Rattus norvegicus: one gene and its partners. The main gene of each other region encodes a partner of the protein of the gene in region 3 in a complex. Links are inferred from orthologs where the notes say so. Each region holds a gene or a part of one and is shown on either strand. Other genes may lie near its edges. The genes, in order: Polr3g, Polr3k, Polr3d, Crcp, Polr3f, Polr3c and Polr3e.

The links.
Region 1: Polr3d (region 3) and Polr3g share a complex: the UniProt entries of both Homo sapiens proteins name them as parts of the RNA polymerase III complex. The link is inferred for Rattus norvegicus from reciprocal best matches to the Homo sapiens genes POLR3D and POLR3G.
Region 2: Polr3d (region 3) and Polr3k share a complex: the UniProt entries of both Homo sapiens proteins name them as parts of the RNA polymerase III complex. The link is inferred for Rattus norvegicus from reciprocal best matches to the Homo sapiens genes POLR3D and POLR3K.
Region 4: Polr3d (region 3) and Crcp share a complex: the UniProt entries of both Homo sapiens proteins name them as parts of the RNA polymerase III complex. The link is inferred for Rattus norvegicus from reciprocal best matches to the Homo sapiens genes POLR3D and CRCP.
Region 5: Polr3d (region 3) and Polr3f share a complex: the UniProt entries of both Homo sapiens proteins name them as parts of the RNA polymerase III complex. The link is inferred for Rattus norvegicus from reciprocal best matches to the Homo sapiens genes POLR3D and POLR3F.
Region 6: Polr3d (region 3) and Polr3c share a complex: the UniProt entries of both Homo sapiens proteins name them as parts of the RNA polymerase III complex. The link is inferred for Rattus norvegicus from reciprocal best matches to the Homo sapiens genes POLR3D and POLR3C.
Region 7: Polr3d (region 3) and Polr3e share a complex: the UniProt entries of both Homo sapiens proteins name them as parts of the RNA polymerase III complex. The link is inferred for Rattus norvegicus from reciprocal best matches to the Homo sapiens genes POLR3D and POLR3E.

What each region holds. Positions count from the first base shown.
Region 1 is NC_086020.1:13,687,301-13,690,854, forward strand, and holds part of Polr3g (DNA-directed RNA polymerase III subunit RPC7), read right to left. Parts: intron 791-3,554; coding exon 647-790; intron 1-646. UniProt on the Homo sapiens protein: DNA-dependent RNA polymerase catalyzes the transcription of DNA into RNA using the four ribonucleoside triphosphates as substrates.
Region 2 is NC_086021.1:189,358,816-189,363,169, forward strand, and holds the start of Polr3k (DNA-directed RNA polymerase III subunit RPC10), read left to right. Parts: upstream 1-1,533; 5' UTR 1,534-1,597; coding exon 1,598-1,708; exon of another isoform or gene 1,709-1,710; intron 1,711-2,917; coding exon 2,918-3,005; intron 3,006-4,354. UniProt on the Homo sapiens protein: Core component of RNA polymerase III (Pol III) which synthesizes small non-coding RNAs using the four ribonucleoside triphosphates as substrates. Can mediate Pol I proofreading of the nascent RNA transcript.
Region 3 is NC_086033.1:51,923,137-51,927,168, reverse strand, and holds the start of Polr3d (DNA-directed RNA polymerase III subunit RPC4), read left to right. Parts: upstream 1-1,216; 5' UTR 1,217-1,258; exon of another isoform or gene 1,259-1,309; intron 1,310-1,477; 5' UTR 1,478-1,482; coding exon 1,483-1,647; intron 1,648-2,216; coding exon 2,217-2,260; intron 2,261-3,201; coding exon 3,202-3,353; intron 3,354-3,489; coding exon 3,490-3,614; intron 3,615-3,872; coding exon 3,873-4,032. UniProt on the Homo sapiens protein: DNA-dependent RNA polymerase catalyzes the transcription of DNA into RNA using the four ribonucleoside triphosphates as substrates.
Region 4 is NC_086030.1:32,292,931-32,297,075, forward strand, and holds the start of Crcp (DNA-directed RNA polymerase III subunit RPC9), read right to left. Parts: upstream 2,838-4,145; 5' UTR 2,824-2,837; coding exon 2,816-2,823; intron 1-2,815. UniProt on the Homo sapiens protein: DNA-dependent RNA polymerase catalyzes the transcription of DNA into RNA using the four ribonucleoside triphosphates as substrates.
Region 5 is NC_086021.1:152,360,474-152,364,608, forward strand, and holds the start of Polr3f (DNA-directed RNA polymerase III subunit RPC6), read left to right. Parts: upstream 1-1,324; 5' UTR 1,325-1,370; coding exon 1,371-1,597; intron 1,598-2,392; coding exon 2,393-2,510; intron 2,511-4,135. UniProt on the Homo sapiens protein: DNA-dependent RNA polymerase catalyzes the transcription of DNA into RNA using the four ribonucleoside triphosphates as substrates.
Region 6 is NC_086020.1:186,937,715-186,940,980, reverse strand, and holds part of Polr3c (DNA-directed RNA polymerase III subunit RPC3), read left to right. Parts: intron 1-421; coding exon 422-502; intron 503-682; coding exon 683-734; intron 735-1,520; coding exon 1,521-1,581; intron 1,582-1,925; coding exon 1,926-2,076; intron 2,077-2,893; coding exon 2,894-2,995; intron 2,996-3,111; coding exon 3,112-3,161; intron 3,162-3,266. UniProt on the Homo sapiens protein: DNA-dependent RNA polymerase catalyzes the transcription of DNA into RNA using the four ribonucleoside triphosphates as substrates.
Region 7 is NC_086019.1:184,895,971-184,900,262, forward strand, and holds the start of Polr3e (DNA-directed RNA polymerase III subunit RPC5), read left to right. Parts: upstream 1-1,444; 5' UTR 1,445-1,571; intron 1,572-4,292. UniProt on the Homo sapiens protein: DNA-dependent RNA polymerase catalyzes the transcription of DNA into RNA using the four ribonucleoside triphosphates as substrates.

The DNA of each region.
Region 1 (3,554 bases), on a different chromosome or scaffold from region 3:
ACACAGAGCTTCATACAACATGGTCAGAGAATATAACAAATACTCCACAGCTGGACGCTCCGGGTAGAGAGAGGAAAGTAAACGATCTCACGCTAGGTTTGCTTACCCTAGAAGTCTCTCCAGTCCTCAAGAGGTCAAGATAACCATGTCGCCCTGCCCACACACCTTGACTGACTGCAGCTTTTCAAACATACCATGTTTCTAAAAACCAGGAATTCCAAGCCGCGATGGCCCTGCAGGGATGTCCTTCTAGGTCTTTGTGCCTAAGCCCTTTGGTACCTCAATTTTATGTTGGTAAGTATGAATTGTACTACTCTCAGTGAGTTCCTGAAGTCCTTGCTTGCAGAAGATGTTGATCTGGTTACTTTGATCTCCTTGTTTTAATTTTGTGTTATCATTTTATACCAAGCAACTGATGCCAGTGATGGAAATATATTTCCAATTCTATAAATTTTTTTTTCTGTTTTGTTTTTAAGACAAAGTCTCACCATGTTATGGCCCCAGCTCGTCAAACTCCTCCCAGTCATCCTTGAGTGCTAGGACTGTGGCCGAGGTTTTATTTGCCGACCGACATCACATGCCCCATGCCACAGCTACTCTTTAAGGTTAGGTAACAGACTCTTATCATCCTCAGACAGACTTTTACCTCCTCTTGTTCCTCTTCATCATACTCCTCCTGTTCTGCATCTTCTTCGCCATCCTCCTCCTCATCTTTCTCTTTCTCTTTGCTCCCTTCTTTCTCGTCGTTTTCTTCATCCGACCTTTCACCCTCGCCTCTCCTTTCCAGTTCCTGATAAAATGAGATTCGTTAATCCACATCTTTGATTTGTGCACCCAGCCTCCAAAGAAGAGCTAGATTAACATGCTGGCCCACTGGCTGACCTCCCACCTCTCAGGGAAGGGGCAGCCACCAGCCCTTAAAGCAACAGCCACTCTTCAGTTCTGTTTCTTTATCACTGGTCTCCCTCAGCTACACTGGGGTTAGAGTCCTAATCCACCGTGCCTTCTTTTCAAGGTTCCTATCCAACCTGCTCCTAAAATGCTTGACATAATTTACTTTATGCTACTCCTGTCCCCTCTGTCTTTCATTACGTCCCACTGCCAAGAACCTCTGTTTCACGATACAAGGTTGTGAAAAGGAGATGAAGAGACATCACTGAACACGCTGGCAGGTATTAGCAACTCAAAAGGGGAAACAGAGTTGGAAAGGCTCTGGCCTCTGGGTGTCTCTCGCTGTCTACCTGGAAAACCATGTGCTGGACACCACACTACAGTTTCGATTTTACAAATGCCTCGTTACTACCAATCATTTTTTCAGTTGATAGAAATGACCTCATTTTATGACCGTCTCTGTTCGCTCAGTTTGGTGACCCTCACTTTGCACAAGGGACAGAATTTCACAGGTTTTCTGGGAGAGGGGCACAGCAATAATTTTGCATATTCATAATGAAAGCTTCCTATGAGCTAGTTTCTGATTATCACTAACGGTAATTAGAAGAGCAGTGAGCTAAGGTATAGGTAGGCTCTATTACTCCTTAAGGCTTTGCTGATTATCCACAAACATAAGTCATATTTTACATCCAACTTGGCTGTTCTCCCTAAATGTTCATTTTAAAGATTATTTTAATTCTAATTTAAACTGAAGATCACATTAACCAAATCCAGTGTAAATGAACGAATTTAGAATGTTTATGCGTGTGTAGAATGCACGTGTGTATATTAATGTGTTCATGCATTTGAACACGCATGTGGAGGCTGGAAAGTGACACTGGATGCCCTCCTCACCCACGCTCCATTTCATTTATCGAGGCAGGTTCTGGCTAGTTTTGCCAGCCCATTGCTTGCCTTAGGGACTCCTCCTTCTCTCCGTCTCCCACGTGCTGGGATTATAGGCTGCTGCCGTGTCCTTCTGGCTTCTGTGTGCATGCTGGGGCCTGGGACATCAGACACTATGCTAACCCAGTCAACGTCTTATCTACAGAGCCAGCTCTCCAGCTCGCAAGACTCAATTTTAAATTAAATTCAAGCAATATTGCTTGCAATTGACCTCACTCAGACAGAACAAATTAGAACCAAGAAGAGTACACATGTAGGCTATCTCACTCTAATAACAACTGTTGCGCTTCCTCGGTGGTTACTCTGACAATACCATGTGTACACTTCCCAGCTGGCCATCTTCTTGGAAAATCCTAAGTAACCCAAATTTTCATAAACCTTTTGAAACATCTAAGACAGACAGACAGACACACACACACATACACACATACAAAATAAGCTACATTAATATTAAGATATGTCTTTTCTGTTTTAACTTGATCATAGGTAAAAATGGCTACAATTAAATACGATTATAACGGAACTGAAATATTTATTTTCTGTTGTGAAAGTAGGCTCTATTATCTTTTTAAAAAGTCACTGATTATCTCAAAATTACAAACAATTGTTTTATTTTAAAAAAAAAGCCACAACTGTACTATTGAAAGTACAGCATTTGTTCACTGTGCTGTAAGGACCAAAGACTGTATTTCTACTGTTGCCATATCACACGGCCGAAGCAAATAGCCTCATCTTTACCACAACAGCCAACCATGCATGTCAGTAGAGTGAGACAGAAGCTGTTCAAGACTTTTCTTATGATCCCAGGGACACACGCTGTGTAGTTACTTTGTTCCTTCCACAAGCTAACGATTTTGTCTTTAGTCTTTCGTACTCAGGCTGACTGTGCAGGTATAAGGAGAGAAGGACTCACATCAGGAGAGGAGATAAAATGCAGACCGAGAGCAGTTCTAGCTTAGACACTGGACACGCAAAGAGCCCCCTCCCTCAGGTAACACGGAAGGAAGGTGCATCTGTCACTGCTCTGAGACCTGACCTAATGCTGCTACCTCTACCCAGAGAGGCAGCCATCATGATACACAAAGCTGCTTTAGTTGGAGACAACCAGAAACAACCACTGCTATAAAATTATAAACACATTAAGATTTCTGTGTTTGGAATGTTCTGGAAAAGGTGGCAAAGGTAAGCACCAAGGAGGCGCAGTTTGTCCCAAGGAAAACCACACCCAAGTGAAGGCCAATCCATAGGGTACTGTATGTGCCCCCGGGGGGTTGTCCCACCTTTCCGAGCAGGCATGACCAGACACATTCAATCTGTCACTCTACCTAGTTACCACTTATCCTTCACTGACTTCCAAATTTTAGATTTTGGCCACGCTATCATCCGGCTCAAGCACTGTCCAGAAAGGAAATCAGTAAAATTCGGATCTTCCCGTCAAGCAGCTGTGCCAAAGATGCCAGTGAGCACGTGTGTTTTTTATTGGATAGTTTATGTATTTATATTTCAAATGTTATCCCCTTTCCCAGTTTCCCCTCCCCCACTTCCCCTCCCTTTCGTCTATGAGGATGCTTCCCCCTCCCACCCACGCCCTCCTGCCTCCCTCCCTGACATTCCCCTAACTGGAGTATCGAGGCTTCACAGGACCAAGGGCCTCTCCTCCCATTGATGCCCAACAAGGCCATCCTCTGCTACATACGTGGCTGGACCATGGGTCGCTC
Region 2 (4,354 bases), on a different chromosome or scaffold from region 3:
CCTGGGGCACATCGCCTCTGACTTTCAACTTTATTTTCTGGATCATCCTGTGAGGGATGTTGTTGAAGTCCTGTTCTGGGCATGGGTTGTAGTTTGCATTCTTCACACTTCTGTCAAGAATCCTTGCAAAGATAATGATGGGTCTCCCACCTGTACTGAGCTGCTTCTCAGTTCCTAGTAAAATAATGATCAGAGCCCCTAAATTATCCCCCCAAGAATCCCTCAAAGAAACATGCAGAGTTAACCAACAGAGACTTGAGCTGGGGCTCCATGCTTTAGCCTCTTCACCTGCAAATATTTGGGAACAAGGAGACACAAGTGACTAGGAAAAGTGTGCATGTGTTGCGCATGGGCCTCCAGAATCTACATGGTAGACCTCAGGCTATTACTGGAATACCTACCATCCAGCTGTTTTAGATCAGCTCTTCAGGACTAAGGTTGGAAGCTGGAGGTTCATTGTTGCAGGCTTTTTCTTTATCATACCATGAACTCTGGGATTGTGTTTACTGGAAAAACCTGTTTCTAGTTGTGGTGTGACTCGGCCCTTGGCACACAACCTTTAATCCCGCTGGCTGGAATACAGACACGCCCTTAGAATGCTCCTTTAATGCCCAACAATGAAGGTCAGGTTAGATTGTAGAAGGTATCACCCATATTTGAAAATGATGTCTAGGGCTGGAGATATGGCTCAGTGGTTCACTGACTGTTCTTCCAGAAGTCCTGAGTTCAAATCCCAGTAACCACATCTCATCTCGTCTGTAATGAGATCTGATGCCCTCTTCTGGTGTGTCTGAGGATAGCTACAGTGTACTTTAAATAAATAAATCATTTTTTTTAAAAGTGATGTTTGAGTGTCCGACAAAGTGGGGAATTAGAGAGTTTTTTTTTTGTTTTTTTTGTTTTGTTTTGTTTTGTTTTTTTGTACAGAATAGGGTATGCCCAACTCTCATGAGAGAGAAGGAGGCAGTTTTCCTGGGACAGTTTTTACAGAGAACAAACTAGACACAGATGAAGACAGAATGTGCCAGAAGATTAGAACAGATTGTCAAAGTTAGTATGAGGCCAAGCAGAGCAATTGAGGAAAGGCTGAGAGAGAGAAGCCAAATTCAATCAGTTTGAGCCGGAACAGCTGAGTTGAACCAGCCAACCAGCGCTCAGAACTAGAAGGGGTGCGCTTATTCCGCAGTGAGTCTCAGAAGCTGAAAACCTTCTAGGCCTGAATTAGATTTTACAGAGGGTAGAAGTTTCCAGGCCTAGATACTGCAGCTCAGCAGCACCTCATCACCCAGTCCGGCTCACCACCATCAGGCTCCCCAGGTGCTGCCATCTGCCGGCACCATTAGTTTGCGTTTCAGCTAGGGAGATGTGCGCACGCGCAGAAGCTACACGGACAGCGAGTGCAGACAGCATGCAATTGGCTGGATGGGGAAGGGTCATCGGCGGTGACCAATGGCATGCGCGAGGCTGCCCGCCGCAGTGCCTACCGGGAACGTGTTGCCGATCGCCGGTTGCCCGTAACGGAGGAAGGGAGACGGCTTCAGATTGGGCGCCTGAACCTCGGCAGCGCCACACAGAGCCGCCGTGTGGGAGCTGAGCAATGCTGCTGTTCTGCCCGGGCTGCGGGAACGGCCTCATTGTGGAGGAGGGGCAGCGCTGTCACCGCTTCGCCTGCAACACGTGCCCGTACGTCCATAACATCACCCGCAAGGTGAGGTCCACAGGCCGGAGCTCTCCCTGCGGTCCGCGGGGCCCAGGGCAGGCGTCGGCGCGCTCGGACCTCCCCGCTGCCCGCTCAGAAATTGTGCGAATTTTAGTTCATCCCCCTACGCTGGACCTCGCAGATTCCAGTCCGCTCCTCACCTCTGATTTCAAATCCTCGGGTTCTTTAGTTGCTCGTTTGCTCCCATCCCCTATCTTGATTCCTGAGAATCTTCTTGCACGCAGTGCTGTCAGGTTCTTCCCTCCGCCCGAGTCGGTCTTCCCTGAATAACTACGCAGAGTGACGCACTTCTCGTTCTCGTCTCCCTCTTCCCCCGTCTCTGGTGCATGTGTGCCTCCCTGTTTCTCTCTCCCTCTCCTCTTTTAAAATAATGGCTGCCTTATTTAAATGTCAGCCCGTGCGGCTGTTTGTGCACCTATAATTCTAGCACTCGGCAGGAGAATAGGTTCAAGGCTCATCTGGGCTGCATAGCACACACAGAGCACAGAAAAGCCAAACCCAGTTCTTTCTGTTTATCCTCATTCCCTTAAGGTTTTCACAGAATTCATTGTCTTCTAATGTTTTATATCGTTGTTGCTACTTTGTGTGTGTAGTGCTTGTGTTGGAACCCAGCAAGCTGTGTTTCCAGCCCTCGGTGTTTTGTGTACCTTAATTCCCGTTCCTCTTTACCTCCGTGCCTTAGTTCAGTGACTGCAGTTGTGCAGCACTGGGCCTTGGTGACTCCTCGTTCCTAATGTTTGCACATTAGAGCTGTGTGGTAGGGGTTTAGAGTCAGGATTTGTGGTAAGATGAATTGTGACAGAATTTCTAATTTCCAGGGATGCCTGATAAACATAGGAAAGCATCCAAATGTGACCTGGGGTGCTGGTATACCCAGCTAAGTGACTTCATTTGTCTGTCTTTCCTGTTGGATTATTAGGTGTCCTAGGGGTATGAGAGAAGAGCAAGGTTTTACTAGGCTGTTTTTTCCTTTCAGTTCTGTCTGGTGTTTCCTTCGGTCTCTAGAGGTCTGAACCTCTAGAACCTCTGTTCTGTTTGGAGGAACATCCGAGTCACAAAACCCCTACATTTTAGTGACTCACACTGCTCTTTGAAGAAGACAAATTTTGTAGAGGAAATGCTGGAGGGAGTTGTGGCTTAGTGACCGACTTGTAAAACTGTACAATTACTTCCAATCTGGTGGCTTGTGTCTGTTAGGTAACAAACCGAAAGTATCCAAAGCTAAAAGAAGTGGATGATGTGCTTGGTGGAGCAGCTGCCTGGGAGAATGTGGACTCTACTGCAGGTGAGGATTTTCCCGTAACAGAGCCAGTGACTCAACCTTGTTTGTTATTACTTATTATTATATTTTATATTTATATTGTTTCGCTAGTTTGTGTGTGTGGTGCTTGTGTTGGAACCCAGAAAGCTGTATTTCCAGCCCTCGGTGTTTAATACTAATAATAAACTTAGTATTATAATGCAGTCCTGTCTGTTATTAGGGCCAGCAAGATACCCTGGTAAAAGCACTTGTTGCCAGATCTGTTAGCCTGAGTTTGATTCTTGGAGCCCAGATAGTAGGAGAGAACTGACTCATGGGAAGATTTTGTACCACCCTCCATGCACACATGGGCGTGCACAAGTGTAAAAGAACTTAAGAAGATGTAAATAACAATGTAATATCAAATAGCTAGTGCATGAAATATTTTGGTGATGTGTTTTAATTACAGTGTAGGCACTCTAAAGTCTTTTACATTTTTGTTGTTGTTAATTGATTTTGTTTTTTTGAGACCTGGTTTCACTGTGTAGCTCTGAGTGTCTTGACCTCGGAGATCCACCTGTCTGCCTCCCACATGCTGGTACTAAAGTATCTGCCACTGACACCTGGCTGTAATAACATTTTTTTAAAAGTAGATTCTTTCAAGGATTCTTTAAAGCAAAGTTACTATAGTGATACCTGAACCGTTGTTTCATTTAGAGTCTCAAGTCCGATGTGGACAAGTATAATTAAAAAATAAATCTGGCAAATATTCTCTTTTTGAAGCAAATTTAGAGTTCATTACAAAAAATTTCAGCATTGATTTATATATAGTTGTTGGGAAGGGGGGATCCATGCTCTAGTGGGTGTGGACTTCTCATGAAAATTGTGTTGTATGTATTTTCAAATACCAACACTGAGAAAATGATCAGCCCTAGTCTTTTATTTTCATTTCGTTTTATTTTTTATTACATGGATTTAAAAAAATTATAACTGTGGACGAAGGATGGTTGCTCAAGCTTATGATTCCAGTTACGATTCTGGTGCTCTCTGAGTGGAGGCAGAAGGCTCAGTGCTTATCTGGGCTTTTTGAGACCCTGGCTCAGCCATTCTGTCAACCGATAAATAGCTGTGGGGTAGGATTTCAGTGGTTGAGAGCATGGGACTGGGTTTCCTTCCCAACTTCCACCTGGCAGCTCAGACCTTCTGTACTTGTACTTTCAGGTGATCTAATACCCTCTACTTGCATCCAGGGACACTGCATGAACGTGGTGCACAGACTACCCAAAGGCAAAACATGCACATAAAATAATTATAAAAAATTAGGGGGGGGGGTTGATATTTGCAACTGGAGGTATTAAAAAGTAAATGTTTACATCTTGATTTGTTTGATAAAT
Region 3 (4,032 bases):
TGGATCTATCAAATGTACACTAGTTATTTCTAACGATATACCTGTTCAAATGAATGCATTAAGGAAGATAAATATATATATATATATACATATATATATATATATACACACACACACACACATATATATACATATATACTCCTATTGGTCATTTGTTTCCAACAAAGGATACAGTATTGTGTGGCACAATGTTACAGTACATCACTAATATTTTAATGCTAGCAGTCTATGGAATTCTAGCAGAAATAGGTTCCTTCCCTAGAACTACATAATGTTTTTAATTCGTATTGGGGATCTCTGTGGTGTAACATTAAATGACTTTTTCCCCACAGATTAAGTTATATATATTTGTATATATTAAATGTATACATCCATTACAATAAAATTTTTTTAAGCTGGGATTGGTGGTGCACATCTGTAATCTGTGCCCTGAGGGGTGTCTGTGAAGAGACAGGACTGCTGCCAAGTTCGAGGCCAGCCTGGTCTACTTAAGTTCCAGACTTGATAGGGTTACAAGAGTAGTGTTGTCTTAAAAACACACACTACACACACACACTCCCAACCAAAAAAAAACAAAAAACAAAAACTCCCACTTTAAGAGCAAACTTCAGTTCCAGGCTCTTTCCAGATTTGACTAAGCAATCATGAACCCAGATAGGCAAAGAGCTATTGGCTGCTCTGTCCAAACTGCGTTAGGACCTCAGGGATCCGCAAAGGAAGGCGCTCACGAGCAAAGGGACAAGCCCGAAGGTACAGTGACCACTCCAAGGTCAATGCAGGGAAGCTGCAGCCAGCCTCGGCCTGAGGGCAAGGCTCCCTATGTCCGGAGATGCATCCCGAGAGCCGACCTCACTGTTCACAGAGGCTGCGCAGTACACCCCGTACAGCAGGTAGGCGACCTAGGAGGCCCCCCCGACCCTGTGGACCGCACTAGCACTGTCATCCAGGAGCAGAGACACACCCCCACGAGTCACACCCCCGCACAGTTCAGAATCCACTCCCATATCCTTTTTCGCCCTCTCAACCCAGCTTTTCCCGACTCCGGGAAGAACCGGGAAGAGAAGGCGGAGGACAGCGAGGCACCGTCTGATAAATACTATGGTCCGATCACGCCCCCTTGATGTCACTTCCGCCCTAGGGTAAGATGGCAGCCCCCGGTTCTTGCCACGCAGACTTCCGCCTTGCCGTGAGACCGGCGGCCGGTGGTTGGTCTCGTTAGAGGTGAGGTCGTGAAACTCGGCGTAGAGCCTCAACGCAGGTACGTCATGCAGTCCCGGGGAGAGGGCATGTGACGAGTCCAAAGCTAGAGGTGGGGCGCTCCGGGAAACCTCGCCACGTGGGACTGGGAGGAGCTGTGGTGCAGCGGGAACGACGCACGGACGGGGGGGGGGTACAGAGGGGGATTACGTGGGTGGGGTTCCGCCCAGGGTCTTCGCATCCAGCCCTTGGAGTCACTTTGTTGCCTACTTTCCTCTAGGAACCATGTCGGAAGGAAACGCCGCGGGCGAGCCCAGCAATCCTGGAGGGCCCCGACCCCTTCTCTCTGGGGGCCGGGGACTTGTGGGCCGGCGGCCCGCTCCCCCGCTTACGCCAGGCCGCCTTCCCTCCATCCGCTCTCGGGACCTCACCCTTGGCGGTGTCAAGAAGGTACCGGCGAGTGTATTTGTACAGAAACCCAAATGCTTTGAGTTCCAGGCCGAAGGGAGGCAATTCGTGATGTTCATTCATATACGGCCATTTGTCCCTGATGGGATGTCAGCCTCTAGCGAGAGACCTTCAAGCCTAGGTGCTGGTACAAGACATTGACATGGTTTCATAGGCAATTAAAAGGCAGAGAACCTAGTTAATTCAAGACATTCGGAAGTGCTTATTATGTTATGGGCACCTTACAAACTCCCATGAAAGTCAGACAAAATTGCTTTACTTGGTAGAGTGTTCATAACTCTGTGGATGTCAGTAAGGAAGCAAATAATCTAGTGGTGATGAATGAATCTTAGGCATGCAGGTAACTAACTGCTCTTTGTCCTCTCCCATTATGTGCATAACAGTAGATATAAGAGTACTCTGAAAAGAAAGCAGAACAAACAGGATAAAGCTACGGTAGTCTCCCTGTGTCATCCATTTGTCAGTGCTGGCAGATCTGTCTCTCCAAGCCTTCCCAGAATTGTTGGTCTGTTGAGCACTGCGAAAATACAGTACTGTATTTTACTTTTCAGAAAACCTTCACCCCAAATATCATCAGTCGGAAGATCAAAGAAGAGTAAGTACATAGGATTAATGAACACCACTCACCCTCTTTTGCTCTGAGTTTGAGGAAGTAATTAGGTGTGCAGCCTGGGAATTTTAACTTTTTGCCATTGGCTTATTCACCAGTGGATCTCATGCTTTAATCCCAGGTTATGTAGAGATATGTTTGCTTTTGAGACAGTGCTTCTCTACATGGCCTTTCATATCCTGGAACTCACTGTGTAGATTGCTGGCCTAGAACTCCCAGGGATCTGCTTGCCTCTCAGATCTATGTCCTGAGCCCTGGGATTAGGGTGTATACCATGCCTGGCTCTGAGGCACTTTGCATTAGAGGGCCTGCCTGTCTGTCAATCCATCCATCTGTTTGTCTGACTGCAATGAATAGCTGAGATATCAACTTACAGAGAGGGGCATTTCATTTTGGACGTCCAAGCTTTGGAGGTTTAAGTCTGTGATGAGGTGGTTCTATGCTTTTGGGTCTATGGTATGGCAGTGAGCTGGTGTCAGAGAATACCCAAGGGGAGAAAGAAGTCAAGGAGAGGAAAGGGCTGAGTTTCTGTCCTCCTTCAGGAGCTGGACAACCACCCAGTAGGTTCCACCTCAGCTTCCTCCTAATTCTGCTGAGGTGGAGCAAAGCTCTTCATACTCCTCTTAAGTTCCTCTGCTTTCCAGTCTTTCTACTTCCAGGCAAAAACAGGACAGAAAGCCCACATTTTGGACAAGGAGGTAAAGTGAGAGGAAATTAAAGGCCGTGCTTTATCAGATGTAACAGGTGTAACAACAGGTGTAACAACAGGTGTAACAGCAGGTGTAACAGCAGGTGTAACAAAGGGTTGGCTTGTGATTCTCATGGTCTCTTTTCTGGCTTGCAAACGCTGCTCAGTTGGTTGAAATGAGGTGGGTGAGGAGGGTTTGTTTCCTGAGGCAGACCCTTATATCTGTCCTCATCCCCAGGCCAAAGGAAGAAGTAACTATGAAGAAGGAAAAGCGTGAACGGGACAGAGACCGCCAGCGTGAGGGTCATGGACGGGGACGTGGCCGCCCAGAAGTGATCCAGTCCCATTCCATCTTTGAGCAGGGTCCAGCAGAAATGATGAAAAAAAAAGGTACCAGGAAGGGATCTGGATTGCGGGTCAGACCACCTGAGAAAGCAGAACATGGGATTCTCCTTTCCTAGCTTGGTTTCCCTTGCTGTTGCTGTCCCCCTGATTTAACCCTAGTGAACGGCATGATTTCCTGCAGGGAACTGGGATAAGACTGTGGATATGTCAGACATGGGGCCTTCTCATATCATCAACATCAAAAAAGAGAAGAGAGAAACAGATGAAGAAACCAAGCAGATCTTGCGCATGCTGGAGAAGGATGATGTAGGTTCCAGCAGCCTGGGGGACCGGTTTCTTTGTATCTGCTAACAAGGGCTTTTAGGAAGCCAGGCCAGGGACATCTTTGGGCTTTTGGTCACAGGAGCACTAAGGTGGGGCTGGGGATGCAGCTCCGTGGAAAGACTGCTTGCCTCCATGTGTGAGACATATACACACAAAGGAGAGGGAGTGACAGGTCCTGAAATGGGCTGTGACATAGGCACACATGCTGACATTTAATGTGACCCCCCCACTCTTTGGCAGTTCATCGATGACCCAGGGCTAAAGAATGACACACGGAACATGCCAGTACAACTGCCACTGGCTCATTCAGGGTGGCTTTTCAAGGAGGAGAGTGAAGAGCCAGACGTTAAGCCTTTTTCTGCTGGCCCCAAGGAAGAAGACATGGAGGTGGATGTGCCAG
Region 4 (4,145 bases), on a different chromosome or scaffold from region 3:
TGCATAGCCCTGAGCCCCATCCCCAGCACTGCATAAACAGGGCAAGGTATCATATACCAATAGGAACAGCACTGGGAGAGTAGAGGCAGGAGGATGAGAAAAGCTTAAGGTCCTCCTGAGTACATATCAAGTTCAAGGCTAACCCTGGATAACATGAGACCCTACCGTAGGAAAAAAGGAAAAAGTAGGTAACAGACTGTCTAATGACTGGAAAGGAAAACAAGATACATTTTAATGTAAGCAACCTGACAAAAAAAGGTCAGAAATGTTTTTGAGGAACCGCCATCATAAAAATGAGTAGTGACTGAGAATACATGCAAAGGAAGTGCAAAGGAAGTGTCCCAAGATGAAGCACTAAGGCGTTCAACATTTAGACAGCAAAGGAGGAGGAGGAAGGAGAAAAGGACACCAAGCAGCAAGATGTAGGAGAGCCGGGGCGTGTTAGAGAGCTGACACTTTCCACGGTTTCTGACACCAGCTACCCAGAGATGGAGAAAGCTTAACCAGACTGAGCCTGAGCTACCCAGTCAGAGACCCCCATCTCAGAGACCGAATGGCTAATCTAATGTGGCTTGAGGTGAAGACAGGGCATCAGAATTCCATCATCCTCAGCTACATAGCCAAGTTCAAAGCCAGCCTGGGCTACTTATGACTCTGTCTCCAAAAAAAAAAAGTCTGACCAACTATAGTATCTATATAACAATTGAGCAGAAGACAAAGAAACATGAATAACAACACAATTTAGGTATGTCAACTGTGTACATATAAAGTCCGCAGGTGGAGTATATTCAAAAACTTCATTTGCCCATCAAGAAATATTTTCTTTATGGAAAAATAAACTGTTAGGGTGGCTTTGTTGTTGGTAGAGTGACTGTCTAGCATGCTCAGGTCCCTTCCATCCCAAACACCACGATATGATAATGGGGTGTGTGTGGCTTAGTGGTAAAGTACCTGTCTAGCATCCCTAAGTTCTATCCCTAGCACCACCTAATAATAATAGTAGTAATAATAATAATAGTGATAATAATGTTGTGGAAGGTGTGTGTTAAGCATGTGCAAGACCGTGGGTACTGGAGCTGGAGAGATGGCTTAGTGGTTAAGAGCACTGACTATGGCTTGGGGATTTAGCTCAGTGGTAGAGCGCTTGCCTAGCAAGCGCAAGGCCCTGGGTTCGGTTCTCAGCTGGGGGGGGGGGGGGGACAGGACACAAAAAACAAAAAACCACTGACTGTTCTTCCAGAGGTCATGAGTTCAGTTCCCAGCTACCACATGGGGGCTCACAACCATCTGTAATGAGATCTGATGCCCTCTTCTGGTGTGTCTGAAGACAGCTACAGTGTATTTGTATATAATAAATAAATATATCTTTTTTTTTCTTTTCTTGTCTAGCAAGCGCTCTACCACTGAGCTAAATCCCCAACCCCATAAATAAATAAATCTTTAAAGGAAAAAAAAAAAGACCGTGGGTACCGTTCCCAACACCACCAAATGAGGAGGAAGAGAAAGAAGAAGAGGCTATCCCAACAACAGCTGGAGAAATATCTCAGGAATTTGCCTAGTTGCCAGGTAGGAGTATTACATGCCTTTAGTCCATGCCTCCGAGGACAGAGGCAGGTGGATATCTGAGTTCAAGGCCAGCCTGGTCTAAAGAGCTTGTTCCAGGACAGCCAGTGCTCTACAGTGAAACTTTGTCTGGGGGGAGGGGGAGAAAACCTTGCCTGCTTTCCTGGTTAATCTTAACTGTCAACTTGAAACAGCCTAGAATCCTCTAAAGAAGCCTCAATGATAAACTGTCTTTTACCAAGTTGTTCTATGGGCGTGTCCACGAGGGACTGTCCCGATTATTAAATGATGCAGGAGGGTACCGCCTGGCCAACTGATGGTGGCACAGGCCTTTAATCCCAGCACTTGGGAGGGAGAGGCAGGCCTATCTCTGGGAGTTGAAGGATAGCCTGATCGACAGAGCTAGTTCCAGGAAAGCCACGACTACGCAAGCCCCAACACCCCCCCCCAAATAAATAGAAATAAAAAATAAAAGGGATGAGGGGTTATACAGACCGCGGCAGGTGCCACCATCCATGGACTGCTTCATAAAGAAGTTAGAAAACACAGAGAGTAAACCAGAGAGAGTTCTTGAACTGGTCTGAAGCTTCAGTTTCCTGTCTGAGTTCTTGCCCTGACTTCCCTCCATAATGAACTGTGTCCTGGAAGTTTAAGATGTAATAAACCCTTTCTACCCCTAGATTACTTTTGGTCATGGTGTTTGTCACAGTAACTGAAAGAAAACTAGCACAGCCAGTACTTTCACGACCCTGGGTACCAATTTCCAAAAGAACACGGCGATAACGGATGGCGATGCAGGTCAGTGGCAAAGGCTTTGCCTAGCAAAGTCCTGGGTACCATTTCCACCATTACAAAACAATGATGGCGGTGCTGATGGCTGGGGATCTGACTCAGTGGTAGAGTGTTTCCCCGAGCACATGCAGAGCCCACATCACAAGATGATTGTGACTGGCACGCATCTCAGGGTCACACTACTTCCAGAGCACGTGCAAGGTCTTGGGTTTCATTCCCAGAACCAGAAGAAAGAGAAAAAATAAAACCCCTCTCTATCCTTCCAACATTCCCCTCCCCAAAAGATACCGGAGGAGAGCGGGTTCCAACACCAGCAGGGTCCCTCCCCTGCCGCCCCACCTCCATGCACTTCCGGTCCGTGCACCCCGCCCACCCGCCCTGCTCGCGGGTCCGGAGGTCTAGCCGCCAGCCGCCTCACAGTCCCCAGCTGATTCTGCTTTCCCCTGGACGTGTCGCTTACACTTCCATGTTGCCTCTGCCTCGTCGTACACAACCGCTGGAAGAGAAGAACCTCACGTTACGCCAGCTCTGCTCTGCTCACCGTTTCTGTGTGTGTGCCGCAAGGCACTCTGGGACCGCCGTGGTGCATGCCGGGATCGCTGCAGGGCTCGCCCGGATCCTCCTTAATTCTAGGTGTTCCTACCTTGGTCTAATTTCAGCTTGTCGGGTGTTTTCATAGTGTAGGTTTTGTTAGGGTTTGCCTTGGCCACGTTAAAAATCCCTAAACCAGGCATGCAGCCCCACACCTGTAATCCTAGCACTAGAGAGGCCGAGACAGGAGAATTGTCATGAGTTTCTGGCCAGCCTGACCTACCTAATTACTTTCAAGCCATCCGAAGCTGTTTGAGACCTTGTGTTTAAAAAAACAAAAAACAGAAGCCAGGTATGGTCGCACAATCCTCTAATTCCAGCAAGGGGGAAAGAGGGAGGCAGAGAAACCCAGTCTCAAAAGACAGAGACAGAGCTGGAGAGATAGTTTAAGCACTTAGGAGGCTGAGGCAGGGGGAATGCCTTGAGTTTGAAGACAGTCTGGGCAACATGGTGAGTTCTAGTCAATTTAGACTACGTAGAGATCCTTTTCCCCATACAACCGTTAAAATTTGGGATGGGGAAGACAGATTTTCATTACTTAGCCTTTCAAACTCAGAGATCTGCCTGCCTCTGCCTCCCAGTGCTGAGATTAAAGGTGTGAGCCCCCACTGCTCAGCCATGTTAAAATGGTTTGCGGGTGATTGTGTTTGAGTTTTGTTTTGTTTTGTTTTTTGGTAAGTGGGGGGTGGTGTCTGGTATGATGACACATACCTGTAATCCCTCCACTTTGGAGATGGAGGCGAGAAAGTCAGTTTTTCATAATCCTCTTCAGCTACATGGGGAGTTTGAGGCCACCTGAGGCTACATGAGAACCCTGTCTCATAAAAACCAGTGTGTGTGTGTGTGTGTGTGTGTGTGTGTGTGTGTGTGTGTCCCACAATGGTGTTCATGGTGTTAGTCGGTCAACCATCTTACAATGATTGCCTCCCCCCTCAGGCACTGGTGATTCAGACATGAATAATACACACTCTCCATGCTAGCTGAGAACCCAGTAAGGGGACCAGTGCAGGGCATAAATCACTATGACACACTCTGTTTAGACTCTAGCATAGACAGGAGAATGACTAACATGGACAAAGAGGCGTCCCAAAGCCAGGAGTGTTTGAGGTGTGTGGAAAGAGGGTCGTTCAAAGCCAAGGCTTCAGAGATAGACTCATAGAAGACAGGCTACTGCCTTGGAGAGCCCCACCACAAAATGA
Region 5 (4,135 bases), on a different chromosome or scaffold from region 3:
AACCAACAGTTTCCTATTCGCTCTACTGTTTTGTAAATAGCAGTACAGAGACGTTATGGGTCTTTTCACTGAAGTGGGAGGAGTCCTCTTAATCCAGTATTTGCATTTTGCACTGCTGTTTCAATGATTATGGCTACACAATTATTCAATTATAATGTACACATTCATCTTACTTTTATAATCAACATTTTGCATCCTCATTTTTTCCAAGACAAATAATATAATGCCCTGGCTGTCATGGAGCTTGATCTGTAGACCAGGCTGGCCTCCAATTCACAGAGATCCACCTGCCTTTGCCTCTCAAGCGCTGGGGTTAAAGGCATGTGCTACCATGCCTGGCTTACTTAAATTTTTTCATTTAACAATTTGTTGTTCAATGGTGAGGTTATAGTTTTGTTTTTTAAGTTTGGTAGACGGAATTATGATAATGTTGCTGCGAACATCTTTGCGTTTTGACATATCTTGTTCTGGAAAGTGGGATAATTAGATTTAAAAGACGAATTTATGATAGTTCCAGATTGAGGGCCAAGCATAAAAACTACAGCTATCTGACCCTTCATAAATGAGGCTGGTTGTAGAGGGATTTACCAACCTTCACATTTCCCTTCGATTGAGAGTCAATTAAAATAAAGATAGCTGAAAACTAGATTCTAATAAACACCGATGGTTAGAGACTGAGGTGCTCACGGTTAGCTATTAGCTGCTCTTGGAAATCTGGGGTGGTCAATGGACCATCACGAGACAGAGATGGCTGATTCGCTAGGTCCACACTGCAGCCTGGTGTCGGTGTCATGCCACCAGCATCTCCCAGCATCCTTCACCTGAACCAACCTCCTCGCTGCCCAAACCAAGACCCAGACCCGCGTCATGTCCTGGCCTTGCGAGGCAGTCAGAGACGCCTAGATTCCTCCCAACCCAGTGAGAGGTGCCCTTCTCCTCACCTTCCTCCAGCCTCAAGGACAGAGATAAGGACCCCCGACGCACGTCCACTGCCGCCAACCGGGTGTCTAGACTCTCACCGCCTCACGACTGCTCCTCCGCAGCAGCTTGCGTTACCACAGACGCTGCGGACCGCGCCCCGCCCACCAGGAGCCGAGCAGATGATTGGCAAGGAAATCGACTTCCTAGCAACCAGCCCTGCCCTTGTCTCTGGCTGCAGCCTCCGTCTGGTACCCGCCCCCAGCTCCTTCTGCGACACTTTCTTTTAGGTGTCCAAGAATATGCCTTCTCAGCGGCTGGAAGAGACTGAAGAAGGGGACCTCACTCAGCTCACTGGAGCCAGAGGATCTCGTTCGATAGGTACTGAAATTTGGGACAACAGAAAGGACAAGTTGCGGCGACCCTGCTGAGCAAGGCGGAGCAGGCACATCATGGGCGCCCCAAGCCGACCTCATGAAGAAGGCCCGGCGCGACCGAAGGAAGAAGGTCCCTCGTCCCTCCCACGCCCCCACCCCTGGCGTGCGCCTCCACCGGTTCCCGAGAATTCCAGCGCGCTCCTCCGGGCCACTTTTCCTCTAGTCTTGAAAACCACCCTCATGGCGGAGGTGAAGGTGAAGGTGCAGCCGCCGGACGCGGATCCGGTGGAAATAGAAAACAGGTAATGCAGTGAAACTAGGTTCCCGACGCTAGGCGAGCAGTCAGCTGGATAGCTGTACCCCTTCTCTCTCGGTCCCCGGGAGAGGACGGAAGAGGCTAGTTGAGCACGCGGGAGCAGGGTTGACGGCTGTCTGGGAGTCCCCCTCCCGATTAGGGAGAGTAGAACTCTTCAGAAGCTCCAGAGCAGCGTGACAGCTTGAAACTTTATGTAACTGGCTCCTCCGGGGTTCTATTAGAGCACTTGGAACGTGACAGCAGCCAGTGCCAGAAAAAAAGACCTGCATTTTCCCCCTAGTTCTTGGGCATGTGTTCGAATCCAGTATTGCTCGGTTGCCAAGGGAAGTTCTGTGAGAGAACGTTCGGGCCAATTTAGGGTTCAGTTTGTGATTACAAAGAACCATTGAGCCAAGTAGGTTCAGTGAGTGCCTTAACCCCCAGCGCACATGTGTTTTTAGGTTATAATGTAGTTAAAAAGACAACGACTTTCTCAACATTATTATTGTGGGTAGTAAGCTTATTACACCTCCAAACAAATTAATCCTTCCAGTTTGTTTGGAGAAGATAATTTCTCAAACAGACTCCAGTTATGGTGAATCACTATAACCCTCTCTAGACACGCACACGCACAGGAACACGTGCGCATATTCTACATTTGCATTCTGCCCACAGACCTTGGATTCAATTTGCCGTACTTATTCCCATTGATAAAACTGAGATTTTAGCTTAACTATCATGCATCTTCCTTTTTTGCCTTTTAAAACAAGCAAACATAAATCATTAATACCTTTGTTCCTAGAATTATAGAATTATGCCACCAGTTCCCTCATGGAATCACAGATCAAGTAATTCAGAATGAAATGCCTCACATAGAAGCCCAGCAACGGGCAGTGGCCATCAATAGACTATTGTCCATGGTAAGGTGAATTCAACTAATTTATGTAATTTGTTGTATATTATGTATTTCATTGCCTCCTGTCACATAGTTGTGATGTTTAACTTCATGTGTCAACTTGACTGGGCCGTGATACTCCTAGATCTGCCTATATGCTGTTTCTGGGATGTTCTAGAATGTGGTATTTGAATTGCTGTGCTGACTGTAGAAGGTGAGTGGGCCCCATCCAATTAAGTATCAGCCTACGTAGAACAAATGGAGGACAGAAGAACTTACCCCAACCTACTTTGAGTCCCAGGACCAGTCTTCACCACTCTTTGTCCTTAGGCTTTAAGATTCCATCTACACCATGGACTTTTCATCACCGAGGCTAATGCATCAGGTCTGCGACATTGGTGTATGCCCCTGGCCTTCTCGAGTCTCCACCTTGCAGGAGACTTACAAGGATTCTCCCCCACCATAATCGTATGAACTAATGATGGCATAATAAGCCTCTTTTTTTAGTGAGTCAATATACTAATTGTTAGGCCAGAATTTTTGATTTGATTCCAAACCAGGGAAAGGATTAGCATGTTTGAATTGGAAGGAAAGATAATTACGTGCCTGCCATTTGACAAGATGAAGAAGCTGCATGCAATTCTGTTATAACTATGGTATTATCTTCATTGACACAAAAGGGCATGTGGGTGTGGCCTGTTACTTCCTGCTGCTAGCTTTTAGCCATTCCCTATAAAATATTTCCACTGTGGGTTTTTGTTTGGTTTTTTTGGGTTTTTTTTTTTTTTTTTTTTTTTTTGGTGAGTTATCAATAGCCTATTGATTGGGTATCACAGTGTAACTCTGAGCTTTTTAAGAGCAGGAAGAAGTCCCACTGAGGACTTCTTTGGGAAAAAGTACAGGCTTAGCTTCAGAGACAGTGCAGTAGAATTTTCATTGAAACTCAAGAACTTGGAGCCCAAATGCCTCTCTTCCAACTTTTGAAAAATGTCCCACCAGACACTGGCTGATGCTTTGGATCTCCTATATCTCTACTTTCACAAGCCATTTGATTCCTTTTTCCTGAGGACGTTTTGGTTTGGTTTTATTAGTTAAGAGTCTTACACTAGGCCTCTTCTGAATGACTTTTCTTTTTTTTTTTTTTTTTTTTTAAAGATTTATTTATTTATTATATATAAGTACACACTGTAGCTGTCTTCAGATACACCAGAAGAAGGCATCGGATCTCTTTACAGATGGTTGTGAGCCACCATGTGGTTGCTGGGAATTGAACTCATAACCTCTGGAAGAGCAGTCGGGTGCTCTTAACCGCTGAGCCATCTCTCCAGCCCGACTTTTCTTTTCTAAAGCTTTCAACCTGATGTTTTACCTCAAGGCACTAGACACAGATGATAGGGATAGGCAAATCTTTTGTTAAGCCTTTGTCTTCACCTTTGTGGCTCAGAATTTGGCAAACTTCTCTATGAAATAGTAAATAAAATAATTTTTGTGGCCCAACTGGTTTCTGTCACAACTGTATGACTTGTCATTTTAATAAGAAGCAGTCATGAGCTGTGAACAGTGATACATGAACAGGTGGGTGTGGCTTTTCCTCATGAAATTTTATTAATAAAAAAGCAAACAATGGGCCAGTGACTTCTGTTTTCTCCC
Region 6 (3,266 bases), on a different chromosome or scaffold from region 3:
GGCTGTAACTACACAGTAACCCACAGTCTTCCTTCCCCAGCCTCTGGGGTAGCTGGTGTTAATTACAAGCATATACCACTATGCTTGGTTGTAGTTTAACTAATTACTTGTCACTGGACATTTGGGTTATTTTTCATTCTTCTCTGCTTCTGTCGGGGTCTATCTGTATAGCACTGACTGTTTAGAGCTCACTCTGTAGACCAGGCCCCAAATACAGTTCTACCTGCCTCCCTTCCAAGTTCTAGACTTAAAGGTGTGCAGCCCTCTTGGCCTTTGTTTTACTCTTATAAACAATGATACTGTGAATATTCCTTAGATATTTTTATGTTTTTGAACCCTAAACTTAGGACATCTTGTTTCAGTCACACTTAGCAATTCTGTGTCTCTGGCCCCACTTCCAGCCTCTCCTTCTGTCCCACAGATCTTCAGATCCCTGCCCGTCGGATATAATATCTCTAAACAGGTTCTGGATCAGTACCTCACGCTGCTGGCAGATGACCCAGTAAGTGTCTTGCCCCTTAGTCTGATCACGGTCTGTCTCCTATAGCCTTGGTGTCTTCCTGCCATCCCAGACAAAGCCCTGTTGCCTGCAGGAAAGCCGCCTGCCACAGACTCTTGACCAGACTTGCTCCTTGGGAAGAGAATTATGTAACTAACACCATTCCCTCTTTCTTTTTAACAGCTAGAATTTATTGGAAAGGCTGGCGACAGTGGCGGAGGAATGTATGTCATCAGTATCCTTCCCAGTCGCCTATTCTCTCAGGACCCCTGAGTTAGGAAGCAGGAGCAGGGCCTGGGAAAGATTTTTTTGGTTTTTTGTTGTTTTTGTTGAGACAGTCTCTGAAGCCCATCCTGGCCTTGAACTCACTGTGTAGCCTAGAAGTTGACAGTACAGCCCCGGTCCTCCTGCCTTTACCTCCCAAGTTCTGGGTTAGAAACATGTGCCACCACCAGGAAGGACTTTGTTAATGCTTAATATACTAAACAAGTTTAAAAAGTGAAATTTCTATTAAGTTTTCTGTGAATTTTCAGTGAGCTACATTAATGAAAATAAAAAAGGCTTCCACTGTCACTCAGTAGCACCACACTTACTGATCCAGGTGCTGGGCCAGATCACCAGCATTGACAGAGAGGAAGAGGATGTGGGCGGGGAGGGGAGATAAGAAAGGGAAGGAGCTGGGGAGAGCCAGTGCCAGTGTGATGGTAAATGCTTATAATTTGAGCAGTTTAGGAGCTGAGGCAGGAAAGTTGAATGTTCAAAAGTCAGTCTAGGTTACATAACAAGATCCTGTCTCAGAAAAGAAAAGATTGTTTTTAAAAATCTTACTTAAGTGAACCCTTACAAATGTTGATAGATATCACACATGAAATGTGTTAATATACTTACATATCACACATGAAATATGAAAAGCAAAATAGCAGTTAATTTTTAGTTTAGAAATTTAGGAATTCAGTCATGAAACTAAGGTAATAGTGACCAGGCTAAAACATTACTAAATGTCCTTAATCCTCTACCTAAGACCTCCATAAGGCATTAGCATCCCTATCCACTGCAACTCTGGAGTCTGTCATCCAAGAGAGGTAAGGGGCTCATTGATTGGGGTTGGGCTCAGACACTTCCTATCCCCACTCCACTGAACAAGTAATTCAGTTTTTATGGCATTCCCCACCACACTTGGTCTCATATTTCCCATAAAGTTAGTTCCTAGTTAGGCAAGCTAACTAGCCACCCTAGAGCTCTGTAATACAAGCACTGGTGCTCTAAGGAGGGGGCCTCTGGTAACAAGAGAACAGTGCCATCACCAGCCTCGGGAGCTGAGGAAGAACGGATGCTGTTTTCCTTCTGGCCCAGACCTCACATGTGGATTAGTAACACTCTGAGATAGGAGCTAACGAATGCCAAGTGCTTCCCTGTCTCTACCCAGATTCGGGTCTCGCTGTGCCCGGATATTCCGTCTGGTGTTGCAGAAGAAGCACCTGGAGCAGAAGCAGGTGGAGGACTTTGCAATGATCCCTGCAAAGGAGGCAAAGGACATGCTGTATAAGATGCTCTCGGAGAACTTCATATCACTGCAGGTGACCACGGCCTCAGTGCCTGCTGAGAAGTCAGTCTGGGCCCTCACAGACACTACAGCCACCTCTGAGATAGAAGGCAGAGTAACACAGACACAGCAAATCCTTGAAGGATCATCTAGACTTTAACTGGCCTCAGAGAGACAGACAGAGCACACCAAGAAATCAGCTCACAATTCTAACTTCCTTGTCCTTTCTTGCCCTCAGCCAATTAATTATTCCTGACCTGTCTCAGCCTTAAATCTCGAATAGAGTAACTTGTTCAGCATAGCCTGAATCCTGCAGATCTATCGATATTGAAGACCCTTTGAGGAAGTAGGTTGAATGGAGTGTGGGGTCAACTCACTAAGCAAGGCAGCCACCATCATCTTCATAGCTGTAAAGTGATGGTGGCTGCTGATATAAAAACTGTGGTTCGGACCAATCATGGACAATACAAAAAAAAGGCAGACTGAGCAACCATGGTAATGCATACCTATGATTCTGTACTTAGAAGAGTAAGACTGGAGGATTGAAACTGAGTATCACACTGTCTCAGTTATTAGTAAAGTCTATTTTGAAAATCAAATACAATCCACCTAGCCTGTGTAGAATTGACTCAGTAAATATAGCTGCCTTTCCTTTCCTTTACCCAGGAGGCTGATTCACAGATAGAAAACAGAGCAGCCTGCTACGTGTGGCTGCTTATGTCATAAAGACGGCCTCTGATTGGCTAGGAAGGAAAGAAGTATCAGGGCTGACAGTACCAGGAGGATGGGTGTTTATTTTGCCCATTGCAAATAACAGTACAATTTCTTTTTTTATTTCTGTGGACCAACAGGAAATTCCTAAAACGCCAGACCACGCCCCGTCCAGGACCTTCTATCTGTACACCGTGAATGTGCTGTCAGCCGCCAGGATGCTGTTGCACAGGTGCTACAAGGTGACACATGCGCTCCTCCCCGTCCCCTCACAGCTCGCCCTCCCAGCTCCTCTGCCCACTCAACCCAAGTCACTTCAGAACGCTATGCATTTCTAGTCTGTCTTCTCTTTCCTCAGAGCATAGCCAACTTGATAGAAAGGCGGCAATTTGAAACAAAAGAGAACAAGTGAGTGCAATCTCCCGTGAACCATTTTCAGTTTGGGTTTTGGTTTTTTTTTTTTTTTTTTTTTTTTTTTTTTGGTTCTTTTTTTTTTTTTCGGAGCTGGGGACC
Region 7 (4,292 bases), on a different chromosome or scaffold from region 3:
GAGACTCACGCCAGACAATAAAAAAGGCACAGTGGATGTGAGGGAGAGTTCAGATTTTCATAGCAATAAATGTGAAAAACGAAGAGAACGGCCTTGCTTTGTCCCAAACTCCAGAATAGCAAAATTGACTCAGTAGGAATTAATAACCTGAAGATTTCGGTGACACACACCTTTAATGCCAGCATTTGGGAGGCAGAGATAGTGGGATCTCACTGAGTTCCAGGCCAACGTGGAGTTCCCAGTACTTGGGAAGTGCAGGCAGGAGGATCAGAAGTTCAAACTCACCTTTAGCTACACACATAGTTCAAAGCCAGCCTGGGGCATTGTGAGCCTTAACTCAACAAATGTGTGTGTGTGTGTTCAAATGTATGCAGCAATAAGTTTAATTCTAGGTGGTGGAAATACGGGTGACTATTTTTTTTCCACTGTGTCTTTTTCAGTCTTTTAAAATATCTAGGGCTGGTGAAATAGCTCAGTAGGTAAACATACTTGCCTCAAACCTGACAACCTAACTGCCCCCACATGGTAGAAAGAAAGAACATACTCAGGCAACTTGTCCTCTGACCTCCACAGCATGTCCTGCCTGCTCCCCGCCCCTCCCCCACTTCCAAACAAATAAATAAGATAAACGTAAAAGTCTGTATGGGTACATTGAAATGAATAGATACTTAAAAATGAAGTCTGGTTAAAAACAAAAGCAAAAACAACAACAATAACAACAAAAATCCCCCCAAATATGGTGAAAAACCAACCAGCTGTATATCTCTATACGTTTCTGCGTTAATATTTATATCCCAACCCATTCACAATATGACAATTTTAAACACGTAATTTTTCAGATAGAAATGTGCAGACCTGGGGTCACAGTTCAGCTTTCAGAGTTCGGTGAAAGTTACTTCCAGAACCAGACGTCTAATTAGGGCTATGTGAGTGACAGAGTGGCTTAACTTGACACCTTAACCATCTGCCTCAGAACGCAATTAAACTTTTTTTTCTTTAAAACTTATTTGGAACAAGCTTGCATCTAGATACTTTTATTTTAATAAGTGGCATTATAATAATATTGTTTATGACAATTTCTATCAGCAGGAGATAAAACAAACACAACTTCAAGAATTTAAGGAAAATATACGTGTCAATCCAGTAAGTAGCTTCTTAGGAAACAGCTTTAACAGCTGGGTAGCGTGGCCGAGCGGTCTAAGGCGCTGGATTAAGGCTCCAGTCTCTTCGGGGGCGTGGGTTCGAATCCCACCGCTGCCAGGGTAGTTTTTTTGTTTTGTCTCTGCCTCCTGCGCTCTGAGTTTCTTCTGCAGCCACAGCGGCGACCCCTGCCGTCAATGTGTGCTCTCTGCACCACGAGTGGCTCGCGAAGGGGCGGTCCCGCGCTCGCCGGGGCGGGGCATTGTGGGTAAGAGGAAGCGCGAGGGCCGGCCCCGCTCCCCCCACGTGTCCGCCGGAGTTTCTCCAGCAGCAACATGGCCGCTCCCTGATAGAAGACCCGGCCGCCGCCGTCTCTGCAGCCCACGGGTCCCTGGGCCGTTCCGCCGCCCGCGTGCGGCCCCGGCGGAGAGGTGAGACCCGACTCAGCAGCCTCGGGATTCTGGCCCCAGCCGTCGCACTCGCTCTGGGCTCCTGGCCGCGCTGCTGACTAGGCCAGAGAGGCCCGCGCCGCTGCGTGCCGAGGGGCCGCGGCCTCCCGGGGCAGGGCGCAGGGCGGCCACCCAACTTTCCAGGCCGCCCTGGGCCTGGGTCGCTCCGCACGGCTGGACGGTGGGGAGGTGACGGCGGTACGGCCCGCGCTGACTCAGGCCTCGGCCGCGCTGCCTCGCCCGGGCCTGGCTCACGAACCGCACCTGCGAGGGCACTAGTGCCCGGTGGCGTGGCGGCTTTTGGAGGAGTGGGAAGGGCGCCTGAGCACCGGCGACAAGGAGAAAGCCATTGGATCGCGGGGCTGCCTGCATGGGCGGGGGTCGTTGCCTTAGCTGAACTGGGTTAACTCAGCCCTAGCGGGCCCGGGACGCCTCATTCATTGATCTGTGTTTAAACAGAGTGGCGACTGCGCGGACCCGGGGACCCTCCAGTAACTGGGGATAGTGGTGCACATTGCAGGTTATCCTGGAATCCTGTTCTTAGAGTTACTGGGTTTGGGAGCGAAACGATAAGATCTTACATTTATCTGTAAAATGGGGATAATATGATTCCTGTGCTGCTTCTTTCATTTGTGGCTATCTTGCTCGGTCTTACATTGGAAGAAAACATGTTGCCACGTAGCAACAGCCCTTCTTATAGGTTCTACTTATCCCTTTGAAGCCGGTGTGTGGTTTATTGCTGGTTTAGGATGAAAATAGGAAAGATCCGGGGTTACACAATCCATGACATTAATCAGCTGCTATGTTGTAGAGGTGGGATTTGAACCTGTAAAGTTTCGCATGGGAGTCCAACCTCTTAACCACTATACCATACGGCCTTTTACCAAAGATGTGTGCAGCATATTGGTTAAGAATAAAATCAAGGCTCTTTGACATCAGCTAGATTTGGATTTCTTGATTACCCGTTTTCTTGGGGCTGTGACCTTGGGTAAATCAATTCTAAGCTGGGCACTATAAATTTTGATTTGCACAGCTAATGAGAAGATTAAATATTTGGTACTATATTGGTACCTGTTATCATTAACATTTGCGAGAAAGAACTGTGATTTTTTTTTTAATTTTAAAAGTAATGGTCCCATAACAACAAAGTATAATTATTATCTCCACTTAATGGTCCAGGAATATAAAGTGTAGAGAAGCCTTCGTGGAGTTTAAAGTCTAGCGCAGAGGACAGCCAACACCTGACCAGCAAGCAGATCAGGAAGTTCCAGGTTAGGACCAGTCAGGAGTAAGGAACTATGCTTGTAATGGAAGGGGCTGGAAGCGGCTGTTCCAGTTGGTCTGTCAGGGAACGTCTCTAATCCTGGAGGGAGTGGCAGTTGTTACCACTGCATCCTGAAAATGACCTGGGGTTGTGCAGAGGTCCTCAAGGATGCTTGGGACTTGGCCTGTTAGAAGTCGGTAATTGATCACCAGGCCATGGGGAGATGCTTATGTGAAGACAGGGACAGGATCATGTAAGAGCTTAGGGGCTCCTGGAAGGATTTGTTTTATGGGACAGTTGAAGGGTTGGGAGCAAGGTAGCGATACCATGGTAGCGATACCATAGTAGCGAGGCTACTGCCAGTCACAAAGACTGGCATTCTCTTGAGAATTGGAGATAGAGGAGTGGAGCTAGGGAAGCCTTTTTGTTTGTTTTGTGTCTGTAGGTCCCCCGTCTGTCGTCCCCGTGGCCCCCCCCCCATGAGGCTTTGATATATACTCACCCAGGATGGCCTCAGACTTGTTATCTTCCCCCCCCCTCCGCCTCCCAAGTGCTGGTATTACAAGCATAGATCACCACAGCTTGCTCTGGAAGCTCAAATTGTTGGCTATAAAGATTTCAGGTCAAGATTTATTAGTGAGTGTTGTAAAATTGGGTAGGGGTCTTGCTCCAGCACTGTTATTTTGCAAGGGCAAGGATGGAAAGCCACACTGTGTGGATGTAACAGCCATGCTACACAAGGTACTGCTTCAGCTGAGGCATTTCTGCATCACTGGTGGGAAAATATTATTGTTGGTCTTAGGCTCCACCTTTAAAAGCCACTGAATTGGATACTGGGAGGCTAAAGGGAGCTGATGGCCTCTGCAGGTAACCCAAGCAGGTGCAGTGTTCAGAGGGAGGAGATGCTAAGAGGGACCTGATTCTGCCCGATGGCAGGGCTGGGCAGAACTTCAGCCCTGAAAGAATAATTGAGACTTAAGACTCTCGTAACCACCCATAGTCTCTTTTTGTATGTGCTGTGTTTCCTTAATTCCCCCTGAAATCCTGTCTCAATTGGCCACTAAGTGCAGCTGCCTGCAGAGTAAGGTACGTGCTTGACACATATCTGTGACACTTGGTAGCCAGTGCAGATGCACGGTGGCAACCACATAGGACTATGCTCAGATGGTTGAGACCTGCCCGCCACATCTTGATCTGCTGTGATGGCCCATTTCCCACCAGCCTGTCTCTTTCCCTGTCCCAGATCATCCTTTGCTCAGAATCCCTCTGGAGCCCAGGCAGCCTTTAGGTTCACATTTTTCAGGTACCGGGTAGAGCTGTGCTGTACCTGCTGAGTTCTAGGGACCAGGTATACAGCAAGGCAAAAGTAGACTGACTTAGTTTGTTGCTTACAGCTTAATGGTAGGAAGAACAGATACAGGGGAAATTATCCCATGGTG